Mus musculus: one gene and its partner. The protein of the gene in region 2 purifies or fractionates together with the protein of the main gene of each other region. This does not show direct contact. Links are inferred from orthologs where the notes say so. Each region holds a gene or a part of one and is shown on either strand. Other genes may lie near its edges. The genes, in order: Ralbp1 and Ap2a1.

Region 1 (7,580 bases), on a different chromosome or scaffold from region 2:
CTTGATAGAAATTAGAGTTTACACAAACAAAAAGAATTCTTCAATATTGCCAGCAAATATAAAGTGGATGTTGTACACCGGACGGGATGCAGCAAGGCGTTTGTACATTTATATTTGACACCTGACCATATTTCCAGTCACCATAATATCTTCTCTCCAGATTTAAAAAAATAGTATGCTGATTTCTATAACAAAGCTTTTTTTCCGTACAAAAATCAAATAATGGCCAACAAGTCACAACAGTGCAATAGGCAGAGGCGAACAAAAAACCGCACAAAAGACAGGCGCTGAAATAAATACTAACTAGGAGGAGACCAGAGCCCTCCTGTGGGTTTGTCGCTCACTTTAGAGTGTGGGATTTGTCTTCAGAGCCACAGGGGACCTCCCTGGGGGCCACTCATCTGACAGTGAGATCTGGCTGCCTAAGAGGCAGGCCTCCCAGACTCGGGGAGCAGTCATCTGAGTTAGAAGCAAACACCAGGTGGGGTCAGTCACAGCTACCGGTTCGGCTCGGTTCTGTCAGAGTCCTTATAGCAGCCCCTTGAGATGACGCGGAAAGGTGAACGTTCTGCGTGAGAGCATTTACATGGCTTATCCTGGCAGAGGTGTGTATCCTAGCCCAAGCTAGCAGCTGAAGTCACTGTGGTTTTCTTGGAAGGTCAGTGTGGAGAAGGGCTCTGGTTTGAGAAGCTTCCTGTGCAACGCCTCAGAGTCAAGGTGGTCACCTCCGACCACCTCAGAGAAGAGGCCTTTGCTGATCCCTGGCAGTGAGTGAGTGGCTTGCACTGCCCAGGCTGGTGGCAGGCTGCACAGGTAACTTCTGTCTGCCACCAACCTGGGCCGTCCTGACTCACACAGACAGACCCAACTCGGAAGTGGAAAAGCAACGTGGTGCAGGGAACCCCAGCGAGAGCCTTTCTGGCCAGTCAGAGAATATGAGGCAGCTCCCCACTGAACAATCTGCACCAAAAGGTGTGGAAGGCACAAACAAGAGTGGCCAGAGACCCTGCAGGGCTGGGGAGACCACGAGCGTCCACGAGGCAGGCGCAGAAGTGACCTGATTTGGTTCCTACCCTTTGATAAGAAAGAGAGCCTGATTCTGCTGTGATTTAAAAAAAAAAAGCCAAAGAAAAGAATTTTTGGTTTAAAAAGAAGCCACTCAAAGGTTAAAATAGTTATTTTTAACAAAGAAAATTATTTTTCAAATAAGCTGACACTATCTGGAAATGCCTGTGTTCCCTGCAAGCCCCCCGTGTGTCCACTGCTTCAGCCTCCCAGGCCCTGAGCCTGACACGGAGTCAGACGTGTGTGAGAGGGGACGTCTCTGAGAGCGAGCCTTTACAGAGTGTCCAGCAGGCAGGCGGCTCACTCACACTCACAGTAAGATGCACAGGGCCCGGCCCGCAGCTCAGATGGGCGTCTCCTTCCGGTCTTTGCTGGGCGAGGCCTTCGCCTGCTCCTTGGCTACCCGCACCTCGAGGACACCGTCACAGGGCGGTGGGCCTATGCCCCCTCGCCTCTCGGGCTCCTCCTCCTCCTGCGGCTGCTGCTCAGACTTGGCTCGCTGCATCTGGAGCAGCCGGAGCTGCACTCGGAGCTCGATGATGGCCTCCCGCTCCTCATGGACTGCTTGGTTCAAGTGATTGTTCTTTATCTTAAAGAATGACAGAAAGGGCAGTTACCACTTAAGGGCACAAGGAATCTAGGCAGAGCACAGGCTGCAAGCCATCCTGAGAAAGATCTAGTTCTATTCTAGCCAGCCTGGCTGGTGCAGCATTAGATAAGAAGATGGATATGTGGCTAGGGTACAAGCATCACTCTGAATGCCTGAGTATGGACTCTGAGTTACAAAGAGAAACACATTTAGGAAACGATGTGTCACCAGAGCAGTGAGGACAGGGGCCAGGGCTGGGTAAAAGCTGAGACTCTTCCCAAGTCAAAGTCTCTCTTTACTGACCACATCTGAATTGTGCTCCTTGAGGAGTGTGGGAACCACAGCTGCTTAAATGCTGGGGACTCACTCATTCAGCAGGAACTCACGGGTAGCTCACCCCGAGCTCCTGCAACCGCCCCAGCCATCGGAACACCCTTCTTCCTCGGGATTTCCCCGCATCCTAAGCAGCTGTGCCCACAACTCGACTTTGGTTCAGTGAGGTGAGCAGAGGTGCCAGTCCCACTGCTCGCTCGGTGTGACACTGGGGAAGCCCTGACCCGTCCCTCCCCAACTGAGAACACGGCGAGATGCAGGGGAGCCGCTTTGGCTCGAGCAGGCCCTACGCCACGTGCACAACAGAACACTCCCGATTCTGCCATTTGTTCCTGTTCAGGAAAATGGAGATCAAACCAGGTTGCCAATGTGTCTTCTAAATGCCAGAATTCCCAGCAACCCGTCTCACTCACACTAACTTCCTTTCTTATGTTTTCCAAAACAAGGTCTCAACTCTGTAGACCAGGCTGGCCTCAAACTCAGAGCTCTGTGCGCCTCTGCCTCCTGAGTGCAGGGATCCCTTAAGGGGTACAGGTGCGTGTGTGACACAGGTGTGTGCACGTGAAGGGAGTTGGCTTTAACTCCGGGCCTCAGCCTCACTGCAGCCCCTTCACCAGTGGGGCCATGTCCCTGGATCCTATCACACAGTGGATAGCAGAGTCCTGGGCAATCCTTAAAATATTATTTTTATTTATGTCTGTGTGAGTGTGTTGAGTCCCTTAGAACCAGAGTTAGACAGTTAAGAGCTGCCATGTGGGTGCTAGGAAATGAACCTGGGTCTTCTGGAAGAACAGCCAGTGCTCCTAACTGCTCAGCCATCTTTCCAGCCACAGTAGTTTTTCTATCTTTCTGTTGTTTTTCAAGCCCCAACTGTCCTGGACTCACTCTGTAGACCAAACTGGCCTCCAACTCAGAAATGCCCCTCTTTGCCTCCTGAGCCACCGCGCCCAGCCTCTGTGCTTGACCCCATGCGCACTTGCCTGGCAGGCAGTTCAGTGAACATGAATGAAGCAAAGGTGTCTGTTTACCTAGTCGTCCTTACAGAAGACAATGTTTATTCAGGATGAAAAGAGAACCCCGCTTAGGCCAGCATCTCCCTCTCAGTCCAGCTTCCTAGGCATCCTGTCACACCCACTCCTCTGTGGTACCCCACAGACTACAAGAAAGCCACTGCAAGGCGACTTAGGACAGTGGCCAGGCGCCTCTCACCTCTTTTAGGCTCACTTGTAACCAAGGTCAGGGGAAAACGCCCCACTCCAGACAGCCTAGAGCACACATTTCATCCTGCTAACAATGCCCTTGAGGGCTGGAGAGATGGCTCAGCGGTTAAGAGCAGTGACTGCTCTTCCAGAGGTCCTGAGTTCAATTCTCAGCAACCACACGGTGGCTTGTGACCATCTGTAATGGGATCTGATGCCCTCTTGTGGTGTCTGAAGACTGCTGCAGTGTACTTCTCATATACATAAAATAAATCTAAATAAAGTAAATCTTAAAAAACAAGTGTTCTTGAATTCCTCTCCACCGTAAGTTTCCAGTGAGAAAATAGGTGGTTTGTGGTCCCAAGACCCTCTGGAGGCTGTCCCCCACTCACTTCTAACTCCTCGTTCTGCCGCTGCAGGTCCTCCAGGATGAGCTGCAGCTCCTCCTCGTCCTCGCTCTCACTCTCGCTGTCGGACGAGTACTCCTCCGTCTCACTGCGGCCATGCTGCTGACGGCTGTGTGGAGACGAGGCAGCACTACAGTGAACTCCGAGGCCGGCTAAGACCCACCCACGCCTGAGCATCGACCTGACCCAGTGCTGCCTAAGACCCAGTAAGGAGCTTAAAGTGACTGATTTCAGAAACCCAGTTCTTTCCAGGAATGTCTAAAACAGTGGTTCTCAACCTGTGGGTCACAAGCTCTATGGATGCCAAACAACCCTTTCCCAGGGGTCGCCTAAGGCCACCATCTGCATATCAGTATTTACCTTACAACTCATAATGGTAACAAAGTTACAGTTATGAAGTAGCAAGGAAACAATGTAATGGCTGGAGTCACCACAACAGGAGGGGCTGCTAACGGCTCCATGCACAAGGAAGATGAAAACCACTGAACTTTTAGCTCAGCTCTGCTCATATACAGCACAACCCGGCTGGAAGCTTCCAGTCCGAGGCCCCTGTACCTCTGGATCTCCGCAATTTCAGCTCGGAGGCGGTCGATCTCTTCTTTCTCTGAGGCGATCTGACGACGCAGGAACTGCTCCATGGCCAGGAGCTCCTCCTGTTCTGTCAGGATTTCATTCTCCTGAAACAATGACAATGGGTGGCACCTGTCTGAGCTCTGCTAGAGGAAATGCCACCTCTCCAGAGCCTCTCCTGTCACCCTGCTCGGTGCTGAACACAAGTTACTACAACAAAACCATGCCACTGTCTCAGAATCAAGAAAAGCTACACCAAGTCACGTTGAGAGAAGGTCTAGACCCTTCTTAACAACAAAGTGCACACAAGGGCCAGCTGTAGCTTCTGCAAGGCTCCCATGAGCCCCCTACACCCCGGCAGAGGACCCAAAGGCAACATCTGCTTTGCCTTGCTCGCGGCCGAAGAGACTGCTCGGCGGATACGAGCACTTGCTCTTCTTCCAGAGGACCCACATCTGGCTCCCAGCAGCCACATCAAGGACTCACAACCATCTGTTGGAGGGAGGTCCAACACCTTCTTCTGGCCCAGGGGGGATCTGAATGCATGTATGTGCAATACATATGCACAAATAAACATGATCTAAAACTCATCAGCTTTGGCTTCCTGTCTCTCAGGATTCAGGGTCACAGTGACTTTTCAGCATCACTAGGAACAGGACCCAAGAGATGCATGTGTGGCTGGTACCAGTGTCAGGTGTGGGGCAGAACAGACAGAAGGAAAGGTTACAGGATCTCCCTCACTGTCCCCAGCCACGCCCTTCAGATCAAAGTAAGAACTCTTGACAGGTTAACCATTCCTAAACTGCTTGAGAGCAGTGATGTGGAGAGCGCCCTGCCTGCACTCCAGCTAGGGCTCTCGGGTCTAGAGCAAACAGTAGAGAGAAGATGCCTTGGAGGCAAGAGCACCAGCAACTCCTTCCAAACAAGGGGCACCGTGGGCACCGTGGGCACTGTGGGCACAGTCCAGGAACCACTGAAAAGTTCCCGAGTGAGAGAGGCCACTTCTCCATGCTCAAACACAGACCCTCGTCGTTTACCTCAGAGCATATATGGATGAAGTTATACTCCAAGAAAGCTGAGGTGGGAAACTCTAAGAAAATCATCTGGGGCTTCTCTCTCCTCAGAGTTTTTGTTTCTGTTCTTGTAAATCAGGAACATGCCACAATACTTCTATGTCGACTTACAGAAACGAGGAAGCTAAACAGAAGGCAGCTTCTTTCTCCCTCCACACTTAACATTTCAGCACACACAGCACAAGGGTAGGGCCACAGAACAGGAACAACTTCTTTGGAGTTCATTACAATTTTGGTTTTAAAAAGTCTATAGTTGTGCTTCTATTTGAAAAATGACCAATAAATCCCTTTAGAAATCAAAAGGTATAGCTTGCCTGGGCAAGAAGGATATTTATAACTTCTTCGTTTTCATTCATTTCTTCTTTGGAAACATCCTCTTTTGAAAGACTAGCTATCTCCTGTGCAATCTTGGTTTCACACTCCTGTCAAAGACAACACATGATGAACTGTTCGGCCTACATGTAACACACAATCAACAAATGGTCCTCTTAAATTACAGAAATGAAGAAAACCCCAGCAGCAGTAGGGAACTGTCTGTAATGATGACCGGACATTTGCTAACTAGGCTTAGAATATACTGTAGGTAAGAGCAGGGATGGTGGTACCCGCCTTTAATCCCAGCACTCAGGAGGCAGAGGTAGGAGGAGCTATGTGAGTTCAAGGCTAGCTTGAAGTTCAAGGCCATAGTAAATTCCAGGACACCCAGGACAACAGAAAGACCCCATCTCAAAAAGAAAAAACCAAATCAAACCATAAAAGACTATGATGTGGTTCGAGACTGCAAGGTGGCCCCGTGGCAGACACTTGGTATCAAGAAGCCTTCCCTAGGACTCACACAATGCAGAGAACTGACTCTGGCAAGTTGTTCTCTGACTTCCACACTCGTGCCACTGCATGTCCATACCCACATGCACACGCACACACAAAGAATAAACATTTTAAAGTAAGAAAAGACCATGACATGGTTATCTCGGTCTGTGGCTACACTATGAAAAATGCTTATTTCTGATGAATATGCTCCCTTAATCCTGACTGCATGAGATGTCTTGAAGGGAGCTACTGGGTGTCAATTTCATAATGTAACTAATTTTACCAAATACACATAGTCAAGTAACCACCACCACCCTGTTAGGAAACATTGCCCTTGCTCCATCTGTTGGTGCCCAGCACCACAGACCTGCTCTCAATCCTAACAGCTTCTCTCTCGGGTCTCAGATGAACTGGCTCAACAGGTCATTTCTCTCTAGCTTTATACTTGGCTTTAAGATGCTTCTGTCTGTTATGCTGGTGTGAGTAGTTGCTCAGTGACAACCAGTGTGTGAACTGTGGAGAGCTTTTGGAGCTGCTTGGCAGAAATCTGACATTGGGGTCAGGACAGGGAGGTAGGTTTCAGGCAGGAATCTAATTTTGGGTCAGGACAAGGAAGCAGGCTCAGGTAGGAATCTACTTTTGGGCTAGGACAGGAAAGGAAGTCCAGGCAGGAATCTGATTTTAGGCTAGAACAAAGAAGTAGGCTTAAGCAAGAATGTGACTTTGGACTAGGACAGGGAAGTAGGCTCAGATATCTTGGTCATCCTGATAAGGCCTAGAAACTTCGATCCCGGGGCTTTGTTTATTGCCTTGCTTGTTCCTCGCCTATTTGTGTTTATTGTCTTGCTTTTTCCTTAACCTAGAACTGACCTAATTACTTGCATGTAATTAAAATGGTATAAAAGCAGATTGGTAAAAAATAAACCCACCTCAGTCTCAGAGCTGGTTGGGGTCATGCTGCAATGTTGTCTAATTGTCTTTTTTCTTTTTACTCCTTGCTCTTGCCCTGGAGAACTTGTTGACTGACTGAGCTGGCTTGGTCAGATGGTGCCCAACGTGGGGCAGAAACCTCCAGAGACCCAGGGCAAGAGTTAAGGAGGACTCTGGAACTGTTTGTTCCTGAGGTGTGTATGTGTGTGTGTGTGTGTGTGTGAATGAGTGTGAACCACCCAGAGGGTGAACACGCACCAGTGAGATACAGGTAGTGAGGGCAGAGGGAAGATGGGGAGGCTGGAATGAATGCATCCTAACTTTATACCCTCTCACCAGCTGCAGGGCTCTGGGGCTGCTGCTTTAGCTGTTATGAACAGTCTGCAAATGTTCTGTGAAGGCTTATGGGTTGTGGCTGCTTCTCTTAGAGGATAATGGCTGAGTGAAATTTCTGCACTATACGATTGATAATTACATGGTTAATTTTTGGGAAAGTGCCAAGATGATATCAGGGTTAAACTGGTGCTATATTTTTCTTATTTTCAGTCACTAATCCACTGAATGATACTTCTTTAAGTAATTTCTCCCTCAAAAGAGAAGCCAG
Region 2 (7,385 bases):
AAGTGTATGGAGAATTGAGAGTGCTGACTGATCAGGAAGGTTAAAGTATTCTCGTTCACAGAGAGGGTGTGAGACAGGAGCTTGGCAGCCTTGCGTGCTAGGGTGTCTCTGGTCTCATGGCTGCTCTTCCCCTCCCTGACTAGCCGGGAAGGTCCCTCCTTGCCCTATGACATCTAGTCTGACCTTTTCACCAGGAAACCCTTTCAGGGTTTGCAGAGGCCACTGGCACAGCCTTTGTCAGCCTGCTTGTATCAGGCCGAGTGGTGGCAGCGACAGAGGGCTGGTGGCGCCTAGGCATGCCTGAAGCTGTACTACTCCCCTGGCTGGTGGGGTCCTTGCCACCACAAGCTGCTCGAGACTACCCGGTGTATCTGCCCCACGGGAGCCCCACGGTGAGTGGGCGGGACCAGGGCGGGGCTTCCAGCAGGGCGGGGCCATGCTTAGCCCTATCTTGTGCCCGGCTACAGGTCCCACACAGGTTGTTGACCTTGACGCTGCTGCGTGGCCTGGAGCTGTGTCTGCTGTGCGGGCCGCGCCCGCCCCTTGGCCAGCTGGACCCACAGGTGAGGCGGACTGTTGCAGTGCTGCCCCTGTGCATCCCCTCCAACAGCGCCACCTGCTGCATGCAGGCCCTGGCCAACCAGCCCTGACCTCGCTCCCCATCTCACCCCCGTAGTTAATGGAACGCTGGTGGCAGCCTCTACTGGAGCCCCTCCGGGCCTGCCTGCCACTGGGCCCTAGGGCGCTACCCGAAGGGTTCCCACTACACAGCGATATTCTTGGGTAAGGCTCGATGGTTGGGCCCAGGGCCGGGAAGGCCATTTGCTCTGCCAGTTCCCCACAGCCTGATAGTGCTTTCCCCCAGTCTGTTGTTACTCCACTTGGAACTGCGACGCTGCCTCTTTACTGTGGAGCCCTCCAAGGATAAAGGTGCGTGGGAACGCAGTGAGTGGGAGGGCCGTGAGCCAGAGGCCACCTAGTCAAGGTGCTCCCTCTTCTTTAGAGCCTTCCCCTGAGCAGCGCAGGCGCCTCCTTAGAAACTTCTACACGCTGGTGGCCACCACCCACTTCCCGCCAGGTGAGTGGTGGGCATGGATCCCACATGGCATGTACACCCTGAAGCCGAGAATGCACCACATGCCTGAGTTGCCCCTGTCAATCTTACTAAATCCCTGACTTCTTCTTCAGTCAGTGTTTTTACAGTAAGCACAGGCTGGACATTTTGTCCCATGCCTGGAATGTCAGCCCTACTGTGGCCAAGGCAGAATGACCACGGGTTTGAGGCCACTTGGGCTATCTAGTACCTCCAAAGACCTGACAACTTACTGCTCCAGCCTCCTAGGCAAGCACTGTCAGTTGTGCTGATCCCGGTGATCCTAACCGCTGAGCAATGCTAGGTGGCAGTGCTCAAGCAGCCACTCCTGTCACCCTCCACAGTGCTGGGCACAGCCTTGCTCAAGCTGAGGCAAGTGAGGAGCCTGCAGACTCCACATTGGGAAGTTGTCCCAGGTCCCTAAGGCCCCAAGAGACACAGGCAGGGACCTAACGGTGCCCAGCCGGATAAAGACCTCACAAGTGTGCAAATCTGGAGGCCTGCACTTGAGGACAGGGTGTGATCCTCTGGAGGGTGACACCAGTGCTGAGGGCACTTGGGGTCCACTGCACGTTAGGTCTGTGAGTACACGGTGGTCATAGGAAGACCGCAAGGCTAGGCGGGAAGAAGCTGATCTGGGAGTTACTGTGGAGGAATGGGCTGGGCTGAGGGGTACCAGGCCCAATGAGGAGGCTGTGCTGCTCAACACAGTCCTCTCTGTCCTTCCTCAGAACCAGGGCCTGCAGAGAAACAAGAGGACACAGTCTACCCAGCCCAGATGCCCAGAGCCTGTTATCTCGTGCTAGGGCCAGGCATGGGGTGGCAGCTGGTGGCTGTGCAACTAGGGCTCCGGCTGCTACTATTGCTGCTCTCCCCTCACACCCCCACCCACGGGCTGCGAAGCCTAGCCACCCGCACTCTGCAAGCCCTCACCCCGCTCCTCTGATCACTCAGGGTGGGCAGTCAATAGCTGGGGTAATATTAGCGTCTCTCTGTTTATTCGCTCACAATAATACACAGCCCCTGGATGGGGAAAGGGAGGAAGGGGGAGGGTGACAGGGAAGGGGGGGGAGAGGTACCTACTTCCTCGGCCCCTCTCCCCTCTGTGCTTCGGGGGACAAGGGAGGGAGGGTGCTTCCCTTGACCCCCCCCTAGAATGTAAACAGCAGCAGATGAACAAAAATAAAATACAAAAGGCCAGAGGGAGCTCCCAGGCGCCCCCACCCCGGGCTCTTTGCTGTCGCCACTGGAGGGCCCCTCGCTGTCCCGCTCCACCACAGCTGCCTCCATCCCAGGGCTGCCTGGCACTGGCCATATACCAGGGCAAGTCCAGGGCTCAGAACTGCTGGGCCAGCAGCTCACACAAGTGACGGGAGACAGGCTCTTTGCTGGTGCGCAGGGTTAGACGGTACATCTGTGTGGAAAGGCGAGAGCCCGACAAGGGTACAAAGTCAGAGGGGTAAGGTAGGTTAAAAAAAAGCCAGAGGAGAAGTTAATGAGAAGCACAGGAAGGAGGGCTAGGTGCAGGGAAGGCGGGGTTCGCAGGGAAGGTGAGGTCACAGGGATGCCCACCCTCTGCACTCACTTGGGCCTGGGCATTGGGCTCCAGCCGAAGCAGACACCCCACCTGCAGGGCCTTCGTCTGGATGATTCCAGCACCCACAAAGTTCTCAGGGTTGGGATCCACATTGTCCAGAAGAGCAGAGCCAAACCCCAGAAGCTGCAACGACATGGGTATTAGGGAAGCAGAGCTGAGAAGCCTCCAGCCTACTGCAGGCTAAACTCTCAGGGGTGAGAACTGGTCCCAGCACCTGATAAACGCCCGTCTGTCTCACCTTGGCCTTAGTAACTTCAGCATCCATCGGGTGGTTGGCTTTGAAGATTTTCTGTGCCTCCTGCAGGGGGCTGGAAGGTTGAAAGCACTGTCAGGCATCTGAGGCCCCGCCCTCAGCCCTGCCCCGCCCCTCAGCCCCGCCCCTCACAGGCTCAGCTGCTTCCAGCGCTGGAAAAAGTCTTGGGCCGCCATCTCTGTGGGCTGGAAGAATTTGTTGATGGTCACTGGGAGCTTCAGAGTGAGGGACTGGGCGGTGCCACCGTACCTGAGCAGATGAGGAGCAGCTCAGCTGGGCCCCATCCCTGAAGACACTGCCTCACTGCCCTACAGCCCACACGGTGCTGCTCGCACTTACCGGAAGCGCACCGACAACAGTGGCGGCGTCAGGAAGTCTCGCAGACACTCAATGTTGAGTACTTGCTGCACCTGTGCGCCACCGTCCACTTGTGCCGCCACACGCTTGGTCTGCACCGCCAGCTGTGGCTCCATAGTCAAGGAAGCCAGGGACAGCGGTGGCACAACTGAGGCATCTTGAGGAGCGCAAGCCCAGCAGCTAGAGGCTCTGGGCCACTGCAACTGGCCTACACCTAACTCCTCCTTCCTCCTGTGAGATCTGGGACCCCTGGGAATATACTTCTCCAGCCTCCACTCCTAGCTTCAATGGACCCTAGTGGGCACGCTGGGACTTTTAGCCTCCAGTGCAAACTAGGTACATAAAAGTGTCCTGAGGAATAGATGAAAGCACCCAGCACCACAACATGCCTGTGTTAGTAGTGGTCATGCACCCAGATGGAAGCAATGACTGTCACCATCTGTACACAGGTCTGATTTCATGGAAATGGCTGGTATCTACACTCACCTACTCTGCCCTACTTCTGACAGAGCTTTCTACCCTGGGCTCTGGAAAGGCTGGTGAACGAAGCAGAAGGGGAAAGGCCAGTTAGTCTCACACATTCAGAATGAGGCCAATATAAGGGAGAGGGGGCCTGGCTCTGCCATACACATTCCAGGACATCCCAACTGCTCTTCCAAAAAAGCCACGGAAGCCAGGCTCACTGGTGCACACCTACACTCACAGCGTGGGAGGCAGAGACAGAAGACTCACCTCGACTCAAAGCCAGCCCATTCCGGAGCAAGTGGAGGTCAGCCTGGGTGATATTAAAGTTTCACAAACAACACAAGATCCTCATAAGCAGAAAGAGAGAAGCTACCCCCCGGAGGGTTAGGAGGCAAGTCACTCAGCTGATGTAGTGCAGGCCAACACTGCAGGCATCCCTGGTTAACCTGAGTGCAGCAAAAGTAAGGTGCCTGGCAGGGTACCTGGTGTGCTGGAAGTCACATACTGCATACTGGGTTACTGTCACCTGTGCCAGAGTAAAGAGGTCTACCAGCTATGAATAGTTTTACAAATGACATGTGCCTAACTCAGAGGGAGGGACTGAGCAAGTATGGACCTGGTAAGTGTTTCCCAGGGGCTTACTGGGGTGGGGTGGGGCACAAGAACACAGGATATGAGTCTGGAGGTCCCCAGGATGGACCACGGTGGGCAAGAAGTTCTGGAACTGCACAGAAGTCTTGTTGCCATAGAAGAGATACATGCGGCCTGCAGCGGGTGGGTGAGGGCTCCATCCAAGCTCCTCTGATCCCATACCCTGCCACCAGCCCAGCCAGGGGATACTGCCAACAACCCCACCCCTCCCCAGCACCCCTATTCCACCTCTGGGCCACCAGGACACACCCAGGTTCTGCCGGAACTCAGACTTGACTCCAATCTGCAGCAGCTGGTTCTCAAACAAGACCCCACTATTCTTACACACGAACCTAGGCAAGGTGGTGGGAGTCAGAATGGGAGGGCTCCTGTGTTCCCCACCTGTCCCCGCTCCCCTGCCCACCTCTCCCAGAACTCACTTATTCAACAGTTCATCTGCTTCTGGAATGGGAGGGCCTATGTCCTCAGGACCTGGGCTGGGGGAGAGGAAGAAGGGTGATGCCTAGGGGGCTGGAGGAGAAAGGCACAGGCAATGCTCTCTTGGAAGGAGACTCCCCAGAACCTACAGGCCAAGCTTCCCCTGAGACCCTCTGTTATGGGAGTGGGACCCCAGGAGAGGGATCTCCCAAGAACCCCAGCTTTCACTGTTTTCTAACCCTGCGTTTGCCAGTCACCAGGCACCCTTAAAGCCCACCCTGGGGACATCCATCAACCCAAAGCCAGAGGCCACCCCTTACTCAGCAGCTGGAGCTGGGTCAGCCAACAAAGCCATGGGGCTCTCAGGGGCAGGGGGCTCCAGCTCGCTGGGCCATCCAATCCCAGAGCAGACAGAGAAGACAGGTGTGGCAGGCAGCCAATCCCAGAGAGGCAGCAAGAGGGCCAGGGAAAGAGAGGCAAGAGGAAGGAGAGAACGAAGAGTGGACTGAGACACAGCTGTGGGAAAGGACAGCAAGGGTAGCTGGGCCACAGAGTCCAGACAGAAGGGGTGGGACTGATAGGACAAGGACAGGAGCTACCTGAGGAAGGCCTCCTCAGGAGTGGGCCCCAGGCTGGGCTGTGCAGTGGGGCCGTCAGAGAAGACATCCACCAGGAGGTTCCCGCCTACGGGAGCCGGGGGTGCAGCAGGGGGAGGGGCTGCCCGCAGCCCTAAGAGGTCCGCGGAGGGTGAGGGGGTCGACTGCAATCAAGGCAAGACAGGGTACAGGTGAGGCAGGGCAAGGCAGAGTGGGCCCAGCCTGGGCACATGGTCCATAACTGGGCTCACCACAGTGCTGGGGGTGGGCTCCACACCCCCATTGATGTCATTGCTGCTGGTGTCCCTGCGGCTGTCATCTAGGGCACTGGCTGCCCCAGGGCCCTTCTTGCGCTTCAGCTTGGCCAAGATGGACGACTCCCGCTCGGGAAATGGGGGCATTTCTTCTAGCACCGTAGCCTGTGGGCAGGACAGAATGTCAGGGGCACTTCTGTCCCAGGAGGGTGGGTGGTCCCAAGGACTCGGGCATTGGCTCTAACCAGAACATCGGTGCTGGCTACGGAGCTGAGGGTGAGGTACTCCACGGCCCGCTGCTGTAGCTCCACGTCGGCATTTCGCAGCTGGGAGCCGGCACGCAGAACCCCTTGGATGGTGGCCTTGGTCTCAGGGAAGAGGTTGATGAACTTGATGTAGGTGGACAGCAACAGAGCGCGGGTGGCCACGCTGCACAGGTGGAACTTGGAGTGCAGCAGCGAGAACTGCACTGGTGGGCTGTGAGGGAGGCGGCGTCAGCAGACATGCCCATCACCCACACTCCCCAGACGAGGCTGTGTCCTCATGCAGGGGTAACTGGGTTGTGTGCCGAGAGGGTCCCTAGGAACCCCACCCTTTCCCAGCTTGCAGCCACACTGTTTCCCCAGGCCCCTAAGAGAGCACCAAAATGAGGCTCCCTCACCTGGAGCGTGGGTCCCCAGCAATCAAGTTCCCAAACTCCCCAAGGATGTAGCCACCGACCTTCACCATGTTCTCATGACAGGCTGGGGCCTGGAGGGCCTGTGGGGGGAGCAAGAGAAGACAGGGTTTGGACAAGGACAGGAGAAACAGGAGAGTCCCTGTGGCCTCTGCGAATGTACACAGGGAGACAGAGGCCTGGGGGAGTTGTGAGGTGACTAGCCTGACTCAGTGTTCCAGTGTGACTGAGATCTCCCACACATACCATACATACTTCTAGTGCTTGCTCCCCTGCCATTGGTACTGTTTAGGAAGGTCCTAAAGACTGTGGAAGGTGGGACCTACCTGGAAAAGGGAGGGCACTGGGCAGGGGAGTTATCTTTGATTACTTCCTAGACAGCCATGAGTAGCTTCCACTCCATGTTCTGCGTGCACATGTGTGCACATAGGACTCCACGCCCATGTTCAAGGATAAGAAGGCCCGAAGATGCCAGGCATCTTCCTCAATCACTCCCTACCTTATTTTTTGAGACAGGGTCTCTCACTGAACCCAGAATTCCCATTTTGGCTAGCTTCGCTGGACAGCCAGCTCCCAGAACCTGCCTATCTCTGGCCCACAGTGCTGGAGTTACACACACGCGCACACACGCACACACGCACACGCGCACACGCACACACGCACACACACAGCTTCTGCATGAGTGCAGGGACTGAAACCCAGACTCTTGCCCTAGCCCAGCGGGCACTCTACCACACATCCCTGCAGCCATCCACTCCCTGTCACGACTGACTGCAACCCCTGAGCCTGTGGAGCAGTGCACAGGGAGGAATGAAGGGGCCAGCTCTCCTGCACAGATGCTGTGTCTGCTTCACGCCCCCTGGGAAGGTACCATGGCTGCAGCTCCCACGTCCTAGGGTGACTCAGCCAAGGCTGGCTGAGCAGGAAGCTGGCACCTGCTGGAGGGGCAGACGACTGCCCAGCTGCTCCTGACTGGCAGCCGCGCTCCATTACGGGGTCAACGCGAAGGCTGCTAACCTCAAACAC

Evidence for each region.
Region 1: the proteins of Ap2a1 (region 2) and Ralbp1 purify together in Homo sapiens (affinity purification with mass spectrometry; 5 studies listed by BioGRID and IntAct, with this or other methods). This does not show direct contact. The link is inferred for Mus musculus from reciprocal best matches to the Homo sapiens genes AP2A1 and RALBP1.

What each region holds. Positions count from the first base shown.
Region 1 is NC_000083.6:65,848,542-65,856,121, forward strand, and holds part of Ralbp1 (ralA-binding protein 1), read right to left. Parts: intron 5,659-7,580; coding exon 5,551-5,658; intron 4,271-5,550; coding exon 4,149-4,270; intron 3,703-4,148; coding exon 3,579-3,702; intron 1,655-3,578; coding exon 1,409-1,654; 3' UTR 1-1,408. UniProt on the Homo sapiens protein: Multifunctional protein that functions as a downstream effector of RALA and RALB. As a GTPase-activating protein/GAP can inactivate CDC42 and RAC1 by stimulating their GTPase activity.
Region 2 is NC_000073.6:44,898,309-44,905,693, forward strand, and holds the end of Ap2a1 (AP-2 complex subunit alpha-1), read right to left. Parts: coding exon 7,377-7,385; intron 6,443-7,376; coding exon 6,345-6,442; intron 6,161-6,344; coding exon 5,929-6,160; intron 5,849-5,928; coding exon 5,681-5,848; intron 5,594-5,680; coding exon 5,433-5,593; intron 5,220-5,432; coding exon 5,154-5,219; intron 4,893-5,153; coding exon 4,836-4,892; intron 4,749-4,835; coding exon 4,666-4,748; intron 4,531-4,665; coding exon 4,441-4,530; intron 3,407-4,440; coding exon 3,283-3,406; intron 3,193-3,282; coding exon 3,076-3,192; intron 2,999-3,075; coding exon 2,929-2,998; intron 2,814-2,928; coding exon 2,679-2,813; intron 2,508-2,678; coding exon 2,430-2,507; 3' UTR 2,065-2,429; downstream 1-2,064. Other genes in the region: Fuz (protein fuzzy homolog), read left to right, coding at 195-392, 468-563, 677-783, 866-930, 1,004-1,078, 1,825-2,039.